Linked DNA regions of Drosophila melanogaster. The protein of the gene in region 3 interacts with the protein of the main gene of each other region in a pairwise test. Each region holds a gene or a part of one and is shown on either strand. Other genes may lie near its edges.

Region 1 (4,830 bases), on a different chromosome or scaffold from region 3:
GGACATCGACATGATCGAGAATGAGAACGAAGAAGAGGGCAGCGACGATGGCGCCGAGTAATACAGACCAAGCTATTCATTTACAAGTGTATTTAAATTCCCAACCCATGATTCAATTGATTATACTATTCCCAAGTATGGGTTCATCCTCACCAATATTGTCTGCCAATTCCTTGCCTACCAAGTCCAAGAAATCCTCCGCTGTCAGGCCGCTGGGTTCACTGACTTTAATGGCCATATCTGCCAATTGCAACCTGTAACCCTTATTGAGATTCCTAGCTGCCACAATAGATTTGCCCAGTTTATTTCGGCAGGGCAGCTCGCACGGCAAAATGGTTTTAGACTCAACGTGCTGAAGAGCTGCCTCTAGTTCCTCATCTCCATTTAACTTTTTAACTATTTCTTGTGGAGGCATGGGAACTGAAGAGAGTTTGAAGTTGGTGATGGCTGTAGTCAGAGCTTTTAATTCTTGCGGCTCTAGGGAGCAGCGATGATCGGAGCCCTTCTGACTCTTGTCCAGCGTAAAGTGGCGCTCCACTATGCGTGCTCCCAGCAAGACGGCGGCCTGGCTAATGATCACTCCCAGCTCATGACCCGAGTACCCAATTGCCACATTGGGAAAGCGTGTCCTTAAGACGGATATCAACTGCAAGCTGCAATCTTTTGGGTCAGTTGGGTACGATGAAACGCAGTGCATTAGAGCGTAGTCCTCTTTTCCTGACTCCCGCATAGTTTGCACAATCCTCTCCACAGTTTGCATAGTCTGCATTCCGGTGGAGATCACCAGGGGCAAGTTCAAATTGGCGGCCTTTTTGAGAAGCGGAAAGTTGTTTGCGTCTCCGGAACCAATTTTGATGAAGGGAACATTTAGAGCAGAAAGGAACTCCAACGATCTCTGTTTAAAATAGCATATACACACATTAATAACTATTTAAGCAAGAAACAAGGGAAAAAAGGAATTGTTAGTAGTAGTAATTGGTTAACAATTAATTAATATCAACCTCATCCATGGCGGAAGCCGTAAAGTCCACATTTAACTCCTTGCAGTGGGCCTGCAGCTGGAGATACTGATCTTTGGAGAACTCCAGGTACTCCTTGTGCTCCCCGTACGTTTTTCCCCAGGCGTGATCACTGATATATTCGCGATCTAGAGCGGATCTCGTAAACTTTGCTGGCAAATCCGATTTTTGAAACTTGACGCAGTGGCAACCGGCTTTTTTGGCCTCCCATATCATTTTCTTCGCTGTTTCCACACAACCTTGGTGATTTTGGCCAATTTCCGCTATAATATAGACGGAATCAACTAATTTTCCGCTTATGATATCGTTTAACAGCATTTTGATTAAATTGAAACCCGCCTATTTAACAGTTAATTAAATGATTAGCGGGCGTAGGCAGGAAATGCATAGAGTATCGAATTATCGATAACAAGACATGAGCACATTTCATACAAAATTTTTACATAGTGTGATTGTTAATATATCTATCAATATATTATTTAGTTTTGTGAGAATTTAAGGGAAATTTGGCATTTTAAATCATAACTCATGTGGAAGTTATTCCAATAAGGAAAATGAATTAACCTATGTTCTGTAAACGAATATTCTTATTGGCTTATTTGAATTTCCAATGTATTTAAATATCCCCTTGTTACCGGTATATCGAATAGCCTCGCCAAATGCATCAGTCTCCCATCTCTTTTCCACAGTAAGTCATGCCAGGCGTGCCTGAGTGCAAGCGGGATGGCTAGTGTCCCCCTGATCAGGCTGCCACACCGCTGAAATAGAGTAACTGGACGCCATGCGTTTAATCGATTACTAACAGCAGTTTCGAGCCACTATAGGGTCGAGAAGACCCGTTTCGAATGAAAATATAAAAGTAGAGCTATTGCGGAACTCTTGCAATGGATTGGAAATGTCCTTAATGTAATAAGAGTAATATTACAGCAACTTCGTTATCGATTATGCACTATATTTGCATGTTATCGATTAGATAAGATGGCGTCTATTATCTGGCCATATCCGCGACTTCCGGCAGTGTGGCAACATCAGCTAGAAGCACACTCGCCATCCCGCCCGCACTCACGCAACAGCATACGAAGAAATTTTCATACTTGTTAGCTGTGAAAAGTATTTAGCAGAAATAGATTTCGGAAATTAAAGATTTCGAGGCTATTTCGGCGCTACCAACGATCGTTCGCGGTAACCTCGACACCCAACAGCAGCACTAGTGCACCAGATCCACACTTTCGCACGCAAACATGGGCGACGTGATGAATATCGACAGCATAATATCGCGACTTCTCGAGGTGCGTGGGGCACGGCCAGGTAAAAACGTACAGCTCTCGGAGGGCGAGATCCGGGGACTTTGCTTGAAGTCGCGCGAGATCTTCCTGTCGCAGCCCATTCTGCTCGAGCTAGAGGCACCGTTGAAGATCTGCGGCGACATCCATGGACAGTACTACGATCTGTTGCGTCTGTTCGAGTACGGCGGCTTTCCGCCGGAATCGAATTACCTGTTCCTCGGCGACTACGTCGATCGCGGCAAGCAATCGCTGGAGACGATCTGCCTGCTGCTCGCCTACAAGATCAAATACTCGGAGAATTTCTTCCTGCTGCGCGGCAACCACGAATGCGCCAGCATTAATCGCATATACGGATTCTACGACGAATGCAAGCGTCGCTACAGCATCAAGTTGTGGAAGACATTCACGGACTGCTTCAACTGCCTGCCAGTGGCGGCCATTGTCGACGAGAAGATCTTCTGCTGCCACGGTGGTCTCAGTCCCGATTTGACCTCCATGGAGCAGATCCGTCGCATTATGCGGCCAACCGATGTGCCCGACCAGGGACTGCTGTGCGATCTCCTGTGGTCCGATCCCGATAAGGATACCATGGGCTGGGGCGAAAACGACCGCGGCGTTAGCTTCACCTTCGGTGCCGAGGTGGTGGCCAAGTTTTTGCAGAAGCACGAGTTCGATCTCATCTGCCGAGCCCATCAAGTCGTCGAGGATGGGTACGAGTTCTTTGCCAAACGCATGCTGGTCACCCTGTTCTCGGCGCCCAACTACTGCGGCGAGTTCGACAATGCCGGCGCCATGATGTCCGTGGACGATACGCTGATGTGCTCGTTCCAAATCCTCAAGCCAGCCGACAAGCGTAAAAAGTAATATCACACAACTGCAGCACCACGAGCAGTCTTTTTCTATCTAAAACAGATCAATAAGAAATCCAAACAAGATACAAAAGATAAACACGACAAAAACAACCACAAACCCAACCACACAATCAACCAGAAATAAAATCCTTTGAAACAACACATCAAATGATGCATGAAACGTAAGTATGGGCTGCTGACGCAGAGTAACAAACTAGTGAATCACACTCTCACCCCAACCTTATCTCTGTTTTTGGTCACTTTTATCATCGGCAGCCGGGGCGAGTCGAAATCCACAAGAAATTGCACCATTAATTTGGTATGGAATAGCAGCGCCACGATCAAAGGACATCCCCAGAGACATCCCTTCCAGCAGATGACTGCAGTTTTCCCCTTCCACCCCACACCCATTGAGATTTAAATCGCAATTACAAACACATTGACAAATACCATGATTAAAAGCCACATATTTATTTGTAATAGCCCCCGTATATATATATATATATGTATATCTACCGACCGACCAACCATTCACCCACGCACACACATGTACACACATTTGAACACCAGCGCTTTTATAGGTTTTGTCCAAAATTTAAACACTAGGTTAATCAACTGACCGTTCGAGCAGAGCACCAAGCGCATAACCATGCAGATTAGATGGAAACGGAGCAGCAGAGGAGCGACTGGACGCCAGTCGGTCACAAAGCATACAGATGTGGGGGCCCTGTAGTGCTCGTTGGCCTTAAGAGTATAGAGCAAGTGAAAACAAAACAAGAAACAAAAAATCGAAGAGGGGAAATCGTTGAACCGAGGAGGTGGAGGCGAATGCTTGCCAAGAAGTATAAAGAGGAATTATAAGCACTAAGTTTCGACCTTGAATCAGTTTTTTTTTTGTTCGTCCACAATGCAGTCCGACCGAATGGACCAGCCAGCCAGCCAGCCAGAGAAATATCTGCAAGAAAATCAGCGAAATATATTAGTTTGTCCCTAAAACTCCTTACCATTCATCAGCTATTCAAACGTCCGCTTCCCGTCATTTTAAGGATGTGTTTTTTAAAAATTAACTATTATTAATATGTATTATCAATAATCCTTTGTATTAATAAACAAATGATATAAAACGTGTATGAATTATGAAACTGATTTCAATAAACACATTTGAAAAATCCATAATACGCTGCATGCGCTCATGCTTTATTTCGCTTTATTTACATGTAAATTCCGGAAAATACTTAACATTTCTTCTAAATGAATGCGTTCTAAATGGGATGTTTTTGTTTTTACGTTTGGTGTGTGCTGGCACGTGCTGCTGTCATCTGAGATCTACTCACTGGAGCCACTGGCTTCAGCTTGGACGGTTGGGCTTGGCTGTGCGGCTTCATCGGTGGTCACCACCGAGTTCCCCTCAATCTGGCAGGCCTCCACAGCGGCAGTTATCTCCGCAACGTCCGCCGAACTTTCGTTAGGTTTCTCCAGCTCAGTCTCGCCGTTCTCCTGCTGCTGCTGCTGCTGCTGCTGCTCCGCCGCCTCAGTGGACTCGGCCACGGTCTGTGGCGCCTCCGTTGCGACCACTACTTCACTTGAAGCCACTGGCTGATGACCCTGGAGCACGTCGGGATTGATGCCGTTGATGATGGCGCGCAGACGCTGGATCTCCTCGTTGGCCAGCTG
Region 2 (4,092 bases), on a different chromosome or scaffold from region 3:
CCCACTTTCTTTTCTGATTGTTTACGCGCTAATGACCTCATTATATATATAATGTAATTTGTTGTTGCCACACTGGGTTCCTTTTCTCTATTGTTTTTTTTTTCATCTTGTTTTGACATAATAAAGCGTTTTTGGCGCAATTTGTTGTATCTTTGTCTCTGTTTTTTTGTTTGTCGTCTGTCTGCCAGCTCGCTCCCTCTCTCTTACGCCCCCATATCGCCCACTCATTTTACGTGTGCATGTGTGCATGTGTGTGCGTGTGCTTTGTTAATTTTTAAGCATTGTTAATATAATATGGCGGTGACTTCTGTCACCGAACACGAACAGATGGAGGTGAATCTCTTTTTCAGGGGGATCACCCACTTTTCACTCCGCCGGAATTCGTAGCACACTTTTCAGGGCTTCCACATTTGGGAAAGGTGCTTAAATTAAGAGTTGGATAAACTAGCTGACAAGATTAATTAGGAAATCGAAAAAAAACAACAATTAGATGAAAACACTTGAAATTTTAAATGTAAGTTTATTTTTGTAAAAGTCGCATATGGCGTTATTTTGCATTAGCTAAGCATAAGCTCTGCGTTCAAATCTCAGTGAACTTACACATATCATACAATATGCAAGAATTGGCTAGTGGATACCTCTGAAGACAGTTAGGATCCATGGAGGTATACGTTGTAGTTGAGCCATTTCCCTCGATCCGGTTGACTAGAGATGTATGTGGATATTATGATTTCGAACCGATTTCGTGTAGGATATTGTGAATGAGTCGCGTGCCGCGTGTTACAATATATAAGAATAAATCTAGAAGCGTCTACAGATCTCGCTGTCCTCTACTTCTTGCGCTTCTCGACAGGCTTCAGGATTTGGAAGGAGCACATGAGTGTATTGTCCACGGACATCATGGCACCAGCATTGTCGAATTCACCGCAATAGTTGGGGGCGGAAAACAAAGTGACCAATTGGCGCTTGGCAAAGAACTCGTAACCATCCTCGACGACTTGATGGGCACGACAGATCAGATCCAGATCGTGCTTTTGGAGGAACTTGACCACAACTTCGGCGCCAAAGGTGAAACTAACGCCACGGTCGTTCTCGCCCCACCCAATGGTGTCCTTGTCCGGATCGGACCACAGCAGGTCACAGAGTAGTCCCTGATCGGGAACATCGGTGGGACGCATAATACGACGGATCTGCTCCATCGAGGTAAGATCCGGACTCAGTCCGCCGTGGCAGCAAAAGATCTTCTCATCCACAATGGCCACAACTGGCAGACAGTTGAAGCAGTCCGTGAATGTCTTCCACAACTTGATGGTATATCTGCGCTTGCACTCGTCGTAGAATCCATAGATTCTATTAATGCTGGCGCACTCGTGATTGCCGCGCAACAAAAAGAAGTTCTCCGAATACTTGATCTTGTACGCCAACAGCAGGCAGATGGTCTCCAGCGACTGCTTGCCCCTGTCCACGTAATCGCCCAAGAAAAGATAGTTAGCCTCCGGCGGATAGCCGCCGTACTCGAACAGACGCAACAGATCATAGTACTGGCCATGGATATCGCCGCAGATCTTGAGCGGCGCCTCCAGCTCTAAGAGTATGGGCTGTGCCAGCAGTATTTCGCGCGACTTGAGGCACAGGCCCCGTATCTCACCCTCCGACAGCTGGACATTCTTGCCAGGCCGTGCGCCACGCACCTCCAACAGACGGGAAATTATGCTCTCCAAATTGAGAACCTCCGCCATGGCCTCGGTCTTGGGGGCCGCGGCTGCGTTGTCCGGGCTGGATAGGACAATCGTCTGGGACGCCGTTGGGGCTGCTTGTCAGGGACTCACCCTGAGATCGCGGCTGTCTGGAGAATGGGACTGGATCCTCGGCGGAGCTGGTCTATTTGGGTCACAAACTTAGCTTCTTGGGTGCAGCAAAATGTATGTCCTGATGACGTGCACTTTTTGTGATGATTTGTGAATTTTTCGATTTACTCAATACCAGGTGCTCAATACCAGAACATAACCGAATGGAATTGCTTCTTCTCGATATGTGGCGGTGAATTGTTTAGCGTTCAGCTTTTTTTTTCTTTTGATTCTTTCACAAAATGCCTAATAAAAATGTAGGACAAATTCTCGCTTCTAGAAAAAGTGAAAAGAAAAAGGTTTGACAGCTTGATTAGCTATATCGATTGAAATCGATTACCCTACCTTCTCTAAGTTCCTTCTAGTGGTGTGCAAAGTCCAGCTGTTGTAATCTAAATTCTAGAATCTAGACATTTGACCTCTGCGTGCTGTACTAGCAGTCGTCTTTAGATCGTGTTTTTTTTTTTTCGATTTCGCTTCTCCGGAAGTTAATGAAAATTGAGGATCTGATCGGATACACATGTGCTGTTCACTAAAACGCACTTTAATACTCTACATTCGCGCTTTTGCGGTATCTTAAAAATTTTAAAAAAAATTTTGATTCCGGAACGGTGACCTTTATACTTTTCAAAGACTAAACGAATGACAAATCGACGACAGACAAGTCAGTGACTACATCGCATTGTTCCAGTTCGTGTTTCATGGAAATGTGATGGTATAGTGATTTCTCAGAAACTTTTACAATAGAAAATATATATATTATATAAACGCATTTATTTGTATTTTCTTCGCATGTTCTAGGTTTTAAACTAAAATAAACGATACCTTAACCATCCTTATAAGCTGTCTTACATCCCGCGTTTGCAGTACTAGAAAGGTATTATTTAAGTTGGTCACCCCTGGAAAAGTGTGCCGACCCTCGTCTGACCCTCGCCCATTTGTTCATATTATCTCTGATTGAGTGGAAAACTTGAAGTTGCCGAGTGCCATTTGCTGTGCACCCCGGTTTTGGTATATTGTATATGAGCTTATTTCGTCGGATTTCCCGGCTAGTGTGGCCACTAATTAGCTGCAATTTGTTGGCGCAACTTGAAAAATGGCAGTGTAAACAGGGTATTTTCCAGTGTCCCAATAATGAGGCAATAACCCCGCATTTTTCACATACATACCATATATATACCATATATATATGTACACATAAGTATATTACATAAATAGCGAGCTGTTCGAGCTGATTGAACTGCTTTGTCGGCTGTTGGCGAAGGGCTCCACTGTACAGTGTGTATCGTGTGCTGGCGCACCGCAAAGCAAACATTCAAACATTCAAACAGCAGCGGCATCGTTTATTTTGGGGAAACAAAGGACCTCATTTTCCCCCATTTGTTTGACCAGCAAGGCAGCAAGGACAACAAGGACAACAGGGACCAACAACAAGCGGCCAAGTTTTATAAATGGCTTGGCCATTGTTGTGCGCCCGCCGCTGTTTGTTGAAATTAATTGGTGTTACACAAATGAGTAATTTTCAATGTACATAAATATTTGCACAAATTGCAATTTGTGTTGTGCGGCGGGGGATTGTCGGTGAGAGGGGGAGTAAGGGGGCGCACTCACTTTCGAGTGCTGTTCAAATAGCCATTTTTATTGTCAAGCGCTAATAATTTCCACAATGAATAATATGAACGGCAAGCATCTGTTATTATTCCAAACAAATCAAAACAAGTGCAGTCGAAACGAAACCGTGTGGGAGTGGGAGTGGGCCAAGACTCTTGAGTGCTGAGCCCTGAGCTTCTGAGCCAGTGATATTCAGAGTCCTGCATCCTGGGCATCCCACCCTGCGCTGGCATCCTGGCCACACACAAATCTTCATAAATTGCAACGGCCGGGGCGACAGTTTTGGGAATTGAGACAAAGTGCGAGAAGTGCCTGTGTACAGGGGCGAAATGCGAAAAGGGGTCGCCAAATGGGAAAATGATACACTTTACTTTACTTATTTTTACACATACACACACACGCACATACGGAAAGGACACCCCGTCGCACACAGACACAATCAAGGAGCAACAAATTGCCGCATAAATGTGGGGTGGTTCGCCACCTAATAGATTTTATTTTATTTTTATATCCGCCAGACGCGCAGCCAGCGGCCAACTTTTTTCCTACTTGTCGTTGTTTTATTTATTTATTTTTTTTTTTTTTGGCAGGGGGTTGCGATTCATGGCCTTACTTACTTTTACTTTTCACATTT
Region 3 (7,770 bases):
TACTACTAATTAAAACTAGGAAAACTATCAGCTGCTCCTCGCCTTCTTGTTGGCCTTGATCAGCTTGGCCTTCAGGGCCTTCACGTCCACCTTGCTGGAGGAGGAGCCATCCTCCTTCTTCCGACTTGAAGCAGCTGACTCCTCCGTGGGCGGGACAAAGTCCTTGTTTCGGCGTTCGTCCTGGCGCTTGGCCGCCTCCTTCTGCTTTTCGGTGCGCTCCTGGTTGCGCTTCGCTTGCTTCTGCTCCTGGTTGAGGAAGTACTCTCCGCTGGCCAGCTGCTTGTCCACCTTGCTCTCCGGCTGGCTGGGCGGGAATGGGGTGTACTCCTTCTTTTGCTTCTTGACCTTCGGCTGCTTGCGTTTGCTAATGTTTTTGTTCTTGAACTTGGGCAGGAATCGGGACCAGTCCTCGTTGGCCAGACGCGGATCCTTCATCAGCTCCCGCTTGATCATCAGAGCCTTAATGTTGTATATGGGGTGCACATTGTTCATGGTCTCCAGGACTATATCCCGCACCTGCTGAAGGCCCTTGTAAGGACCCAAGGCGGAGACTGTGTTTCCTTGAACCAAAACGTAGCAATCGGTGAGCAGTTCAATGGACTTAAGGGTGGCGCCGTTAGGTCCGATCAAACGCTGTCGCCGCTTCACGAACTTCTCCTTCTTGTGCACAAGGTTTCCGATTTTGATGATGTCACACCCAATGTCGTCCTGCAGGACCCGCTTGGCCTGCTCGAAGGGAACACTTCTGGCCATCAGCTTGATCATATCCCGCGCCTTGATGATGATGTAGGGATCCCAGGTCTTGCGACTGGTCTTCACCACCATGCTCCCCTCCATCAAATCTAGCTCCGCCTTCAGGTGGTGCTCCGCCAAGCACTGCTCCACCAGAGGCCAAACCTCCTTAAGATAGCGCTCCCGATATTTGGGAAACAGCGTGGCGAAGGAGCTCTCCTCCACCATCCCATGCGGGTTGTCCTCCTGCCTGAAGGCAGGGATCTTCATGGACCACGCATTGTCCACCGGCTCGGTGCTGATTTTGGTCTCCTCCGCTTCACTTTCGCTCATCGTTACTCGAGTTTTCAGAAGCTAATTCTACAGGTAAGATTCTTGCACGCTTGTTTTGGCCAGGCTGCCAGATCAGCGGTAAATGCGTGTGACCATATCAGGGAAAACTGGTTGGTTAATATTATTGATAGATTACCTATTTAAAGGTTTATTTTTATCTTGATTATAAAATAAATTTTTCGATTGAGAATGTTTTAAAATATATATTCAAATACAATTATATTTGATCGTGTGCCAGATAAATGCCTTAACAAAATTGCGATTCCAATGTAACTCAAATATTAAGGATATTGGGTACATCAATACTAATAAAATATGCAATTCTGAATATCTAAAATATAAGAAATAAGTCAAACAATACATGATTTAGCCCTGACACCTTCACAAATTTTATTTAATTGAAAAAGAGCTCAGGGTATCTATAACTTATGCCATTATATGTGTTAGAATAATTAAGATGAATTAAAATCTTAATTCAATAAATTTCTTTTTATAGCATTCGCTATTATCCACCGTGGATAGTTTTTGAAACTGTTAACGGGAAACTAAATCCATTTATATTAAAAGTGTTTTTAAGTAAATAATTATTGTTTGTACTTTCAAAATAGGGGTATTAATTAGATTACCATATTCCGACTATGCGTTTTGGTATTTTCTAAACAAACTTTTATTTTCAAGCAAGGAAAGGTCACACGATTTTGTGAGCCTAAGCAAAGCGCACGCAGGAGTTTTCGGAGAGATAGAAAAATCGTCGCCAATTAAATATTTAACAAATTGTAAGGCCGATAAACAATTGTACATTTAATATATATTTTCTGGAAGGCTTATTACCGATTTGCTCGACCTAAGTGTGCGGACCTAACCGCATGTCCAATTTTGGGGCGTGGACGTGAACGAAAGCCGATAATTAGGATTAAACAAAGAAAAATCAATATAAAGTGGCCGATATTGTTGAAGTTGCTATTAAAAGACAATTTTCTAGCATTTCCCTTGGCTGCGGATTTAATTACGCCTTTGTGAAAAATTGTGAAAATCAAAATGGCGTCATTGTTGTGTGCGTGGCAAGGCGCTGCCAACCTGCTTTAACAGAAAAACTAAGTAACTTTCACATTTTGCTTGTACCTAAAGTCAAATTTGGGTTGTAACCAAAAACGAGGTAGAGAGACATTTGTGCTACAAACGTTCAGACGAACGCATGTTTTCGTATCAATACCAATACGTCGTAATATATAATTTTCGGTTTTCTGAGAGTGGACAGCCTTCAGGGCTGCACTGGCTTATCGATTACCGATAGCCGCGAGCACACGTCCGAATTTCATCAGTGCCTGAAAAAATCGCAACGCGTAAAACACGTTTTCTGCAGCTCCAAAACAAAAAACAAAACATTCAAGCGGAGGGATTATTGGTTTACTGCCAGTTGAGACAATAAAATAACAGCATTTATCATATTTTGGCGCTGCTGCTGGAATTTATTTAATACTCGTCTTAAAAGTGAATTGTAGGGATATAGCAAAATTTTATCCTGCTAAATTTGTTCTCAGACTGGTGTTTTCTCCTATTTTAGATACTATTGCAGTCCTTGAAAAAGCGAATTCTTATGGAATTACGTAATCAGTGGAAATTTAGTATCTATTAAGACACCCATACCAACAAAAGCGAGTGTCGGTGCACACACGCACGATCCAACACACGCGCACACGTTGCGTATGGTCACACCTACAAGTGTGGAAGAGAGACGGCTATAGGGAGTTAGCGTTGCCAGATAAATTTTCTTCTTTCGCACGACTAACAAAGAAAATGGTGAGTTATATTGGCTAGGAAATGCAACAACAGTTGTGCTTTATTTAATGTTTTTATTCGACAGCCTCGTATAGTTCCACTGCAATTGCTGAGGTGCCTGCGGGTGCTTTTGGACAATAATGGTGGAATTTTAAGTGCAGTGGAGGTGAAACGCATTTCGGGGTAAGTTCACCACTTGTCAGCAGCGACACCTATCGGCGTTTGCTAATATCAAGTTTTTCGCCCACAGTTTGATGGCCAAGTATTCAAAAAAACTCGTCTCGAAATGTGTGTATGTACAAATTCTGAAATCCACAAAGACGGAACTATTGGGCGACTTTATGGCGGTGGGCGGTTGGTCGCTGGTCTACACCTGGTTAAATGATGCCATCAGGGCCATGAACTGGCCGCTGGTACAGGAGATCCTGGAACTGCTGCTCCTTTCTCCCGTGGATGTCAATCGCCTCAAGATAAACTCAGCACCTATTCTGGTCAAGGGGCTGTGCAAGGATGGCGGCAACGAAGGTAAGTTTTCTTTGATAAGTCTTACTCTAGTCGTAGATTAGTGTTTTTGGGTCATGTTTTGGGCTGTCCTTTATGCTTTTAATTACCTAGGGATTACTAATTGGCTTTTCTCGACCCCGTTTTCCAGGTGTACGCATTCTAGCCAAGCGTTTGGTAGAGCAGTGGCTGAAGATTGTGACGGAAAACACAAGCATGACGATCCAAGGTGCTGCGCCACATATTGCAGCCACTACTGCCTCTCAGGTTCCTGCATCCGTTTCTGGAGCTGGCTCCGCTTCAGTTCCGGACTCTGCCTCTTCTTCAGACAGCACTGATAGCGCCGGAGCACCTGTGACGTATACCATCACCTCGGCGGCCAACAGTAGCAATTCCAACAGCATTACCATCAAGTGGAAGCCTTTGTTGGACAACCCAGATGGTGGCGACGAAACGGATTCTGGCACACAATCGAAAGACAACGAGGTGGAACATCTGGAAAAGGGCTCCTCCGCAACCCACTTATTAGCAGATGCTAGTCTGGGGAAAAAGTCCGGGTTAGATGATAGTAGCTCCGCGGCGGAGGTTAAGTCTGGGGAGGACGTGGATAATAAGAAGCATAAGAGCTCAAAGAGCGACAAAAGTAAACGGTCCGAGAAGGAGCGCGAGAAGGATAGAAAGAAGGAAAGTTCAAGTCATAGGTCCTCCTCATCTAGCCATAAGTCGTCCTCTTCCTCGTCATCCTCCTCTTCGAAGAGCAGTTCTTCCAAGAGCTCCTCATCTTCTTCCTCTTCCCATCGCAGTTCTAGCGATAAATACCGCGATAAAGACAAGGCTCGCTCAAGTTCCGGCTCCTCCAGCTCGAGCAAGGACCGGGAGCGCAGCAGCGGTTCGTCTTCTTCTTCCTCGAATAAACACAAGTCCTCAAAGTCCTCCTCGTCGTCGTCGTCGTCGTCGTCGAGCAGCTCTGGTTCTAGTTCGTCCAAAGATCGCAAGTCGTCGTCGTCAACTTCGTCATCATCCTCATCCTCGAGGCAGGACAAGGACAAGGACAACAAGCTAATGCCTCCGCCAGCTGTGGCAGCATCAAATGCTGCAGGTACATCTCCTACAGCTTCGGCAAAGGAGAGCGACGCACAGAAGCCCAGATCGATTCCTATCATGTCCCGCAAGGCCTCCATTTCGATAGAAATTCGCCGGGACACCGAAAAGACGGCCACTGTAAAGACGTACCAGTCCAAATTCAGATCGCATGGCCTGACGGAAGAGGCTCCGCCTCCCCCATCTCGCAAGGGCCTAAAGAAGCCCACATCGTCGGCGGTTGCCGCTTCACCCGCTTTAATGGCAGTCCCGTCTTCACTGAAGCGACCATCGCCGCCACCCAGGGATTTGTCCACCGACAAGAAGGCCAAGATCGACATCAACAACGTCGCGGGACATGTGGAGAGGCCCGGAGCCGCCAAGCTGATAGCGCCCAAAAAGAGTAAGCAACAGATGCTAGAATCACTATTAATGCTCTTCTCTATTTTATTCCACAGCCCAAGAACTTTGGTGGCTTTTGCTTTTGTTTTCGATCGGAGTCGAATGTCGAACTCCGCCGTATTATTTGTTGATCTCCATTCCATTCTCAAGGTGTTTAATTTTGCTTGGGGCGGGTCTTAAATTGTAGAGCAGAAGTGGGGCCTTTTAGTGTGGGTACTTTGCATTATAATGTATCAATCGTGGCGGTGTTATCCCCGGATCGAGTTTGAACTGCAAGCTGCCCGAGTGTGAGTCTATGACCTCAATTCCGGATGACGGCGGATGAAGTTGAATGGAGTTGAATCCCGAAATCTGGGCACTGCGCATGCGCTGAGACCGAACGAAAACGAAATCTGAGGCACAGACGATGCCGCCGCCGCCGTCGTCGTCGTCGTTGTCGCTGCCTGATGTTAAGTATTCAAACCTCAAATCTTGAACGTATTTAGCTTAGCTTAGCTATAAGGTATGTAGATTCACTTGGCGAGCAGCCCACCTTAAAGACTTACAAATAAAATACGGTTTCCTCTAGAAAAATACGATTTTTCTATTGAATAAAAAAATGCATTGAGCGCAAAAGAAACGAAAACGAAAATATTGACTTAAGCTGGCGGTTCTATAAGTTGGTAGGTGGTTCGATCACCACCGTGGGCTTGAGTCCCAGCTGCTTTGCTTTGGCCTCGATTTTGCTGTCGTGCGTCACCGAGGGTCTCCACAATTGTTCGCCTCGCTAGAGCAGGCAACCCTAGTTTACCCACATCCTCGTCGTAGTGCGTCATCAGCGGATGCGTCACCTTGGCAGTAAGCTGCACGGTGCGCGTAATCTGATCGCAGTGTCGGGTTCCTTGGGTAGATTAGTGCTGAGGAAACCCAATGACACTTATCGATGTGCTGACATAAATATACTAAAAGCATCAAAGTTTAAAGAGGTTTAACTATTGCGTATAACTAGTAGTCTTAGCAATACACTTTTAATAAGCGTACTTCTCAAGTTTCAATCGCAATGAGAGCTTATAACTATTTTAATTATGATGATTAAACACTATTTGTGTTGAAAAACTAGTTAAATAAAAAAAAGTCGAATAATTACATTTTGACATTTATATATGAAATTATACCGAATAAAGTCGAGCAAGCCAAAACTTTTAAAGAACTTTTGGGGAAAATTCATGAATTGTTTAGTAGTTCTAGGTTTTGGTATATATTCGGTGCTTATTCCAGTAGAGAGACTCCCATTTCATTAATTATCGAAATGTGGGTAAACTTAATCAATCAATCATAAACACAACAAATGTGTGTGTCCAGATCAGATTGTTTCTTTCCATAACTTTTTTACTTCTAGCAATTTCCAGCAAAAGCAAAATCCACCAAAGCCAATGGGCCATTCAACGAAGGCCACTTAAACATTTTCTTAACTAAACCAATTACTGGAGCGATTACTTACTTTACCCTCATTTTTCCAGTTCAAACCCTGGTGGAGACCAACCTGTTCTCGGACGCCCTGGCCGCCTCCATCGAACCCAAAAAGGTGGTGAAGCGCAAGCGTACGTCTGCAACATCGCCCACGGACAAGGACGCGCCACTGGCGCCGCTTAAGTTCTACCAGGATACTCTGGACGAGTCGAAGAGCGAGGAGAAGTCGGACGACAGCAGCAAGGAAAACGATGATGCGCGCTCCTCGTCACCTGGCAAGGACACGGATGCCGATGACGACGACATTCCCCTTAAGAGGGTCAAGGAGGACATCGAGCAAAAGGTGCAGAAGGCGAAGGCTGCGGCAGGCGGAGAAGGCGGAGAAGCGGGTAACACCTCTGACAACGCTGAAGATCTTCCCGAGGAGCCCAAGAAGCCTGGACCTGGCTGTGGACCCGATGGACCACCGGGAGTGCTCACGCTGCACCGCCGCAAGGGCCCGAAAAAGAAGCTAACCTGGCAGTCAGAGGAAAAGCTCACCCAGATACGATACTTCGAGGTCGATCGCTCAGAGCGCGTAAATGTGATGAAGCAGACCTTCCTGGAAATGAAGAACATGGAGCGATTCAGCGAGCGGGACGCGCTGACCATTGCTCGGCGTGGATTCGACGATACCATGGAGCCGCAAATGGAGTGGCGGCCACTACTCGAAGTCGATAATGTGCCCGACCACCCGAACGGAAACCTCTCCAAGCAGCGCCAGGTGCAGATGGACAGGGAGGCCACCACTCTAAGAGCCCTGTACTTCTCGCCCGACATGATTCCCGACAGTCCTGCGGAGGCGGAACTGGAACCGCATTTTGCTCATGACATTCCCGTGATACCCATGGATGACCTGACGGGGAATCCGGATGCTGTCAACGACTACAGTGCCTTGGCGTGGCCGGAGCCCAAGAAATACGCGCCTAGCTCGGGAGTCGGAGCAAATATCAGCGGATCGGACATGGGCTTCAATGACAATATGTTGACCGGACTGGGAGCTGGACCGAACCTAATGCAAAATCCATTCGATCCGTTCATGGGAGGCATGCCTGCTCCCACGGGAATGCCACCCGGACCAAACATGATGCCAAATCAAGTGCCCAACGGAACGCCGCAAATCTGGCAGAACCAAATGGGTCCGGTAGGTGGGCCGCCCGGTGTACCGCCCATGATGAACGGACCCGGTGGCCCCGGAATGGATATGAGCAATATGAACATGAACAACATGCCACCGCAAAACTTTATGGGCAATCAGTTTGGAAGTCCAGTGTCTCCATTCGGAAGCGGCCCACCACCTGGATTCAATCAGTACCCGCCCATGATGATGAATGGACCAGGTCCGGGACCGGTAATGGGACCCAATGGTCCAGTGATGGGACCCAACGGCCCCATGATGAACGGCCCACCCAATGGACCCATGATGAACGGGCCGCCCAATGGAATGGGGCCAGG

Evidence for each region.
Region 1: the proteins of PNUTS (region 3) and Pp1-87B interact in a two-hybrid assay, tested with the Drosophila melanogaster proteins (2 studies listed by BioGRID).
Region 2: the proteins of PNUTS (region 3) and Pp1-13C interact in a two-hybrid assay, tested with the Drosophila melanogaster proteins (3 studies listed by BioGRID).

Annotation. Positions count from the first base shown.
Region 1 is NT_033777.3:12,423,119-12,427,948, reverse strand, and holds Pp1-87B (protein phosphatase 1 at 87B), read left to right. Parts: upstream 1-2,031; 5' UTR 2,032-2,260; coding exon 2,261-3,169; 3' UTR 3,170-3,338; intron 3,339-3,432; 3' UTR 3,433-4,328; downstream 4,329-4,830. Other genes in the region: CG5641 (uncharacterized protein), read left to right, coding at 1-61; NANS (N-acetylneuraminic acid synthase), read right to left, coding at 113-895, 1,002-1,337; CG17202 (uncharacterized protein), read right to left, coding at 4,483-4,830. UniProt on the Drosophila melanogaster protein: Is essential for the regulation of mitotic chromosomal segregation as well as regulation of chromatin condensation during interphase.
Region 2 is NC_004354.4:15,358,599-15,362,690, forward strand, and holds Pp1-13C (protein phosphatase 1 at 13C), read right to left. Parts: upstream 2,464-4,092; 5' UTR 2,193-2,463; intron 2,124-2,192; 5' UTR 1,740-2,123; coding exon 831-1,739; 3' UTR 503-830; downstream 1-502.
Region 3 is NT_033779.5:868,712-876,481, forward strand, and holds the start of PNUTS (phosphatase 1 nuclear targeting subunit), read left to right. Parts: upstream 1-1,753; 5' UTR 1,754-1,841; exon of another isoform or gene 1,842-2,629; 5' UTR 2,630-2,862; coding exon 2,863-2,865; intron 2,866-2,929; coding exon 2,930-3,027; intron 3,028-3,094; coding exon 3,095-3,369; intron 3,370-3,496; coding exon 3,497-4,828; coding exon of another isoform or gene 4,829-5,007; exon of another isoform or gene 5,008-5,438; intron 5,439-6,326; coding exon 6,327-7,770. Other genes in the region: dbe (dribble), read right to left, coding at 28-1,065.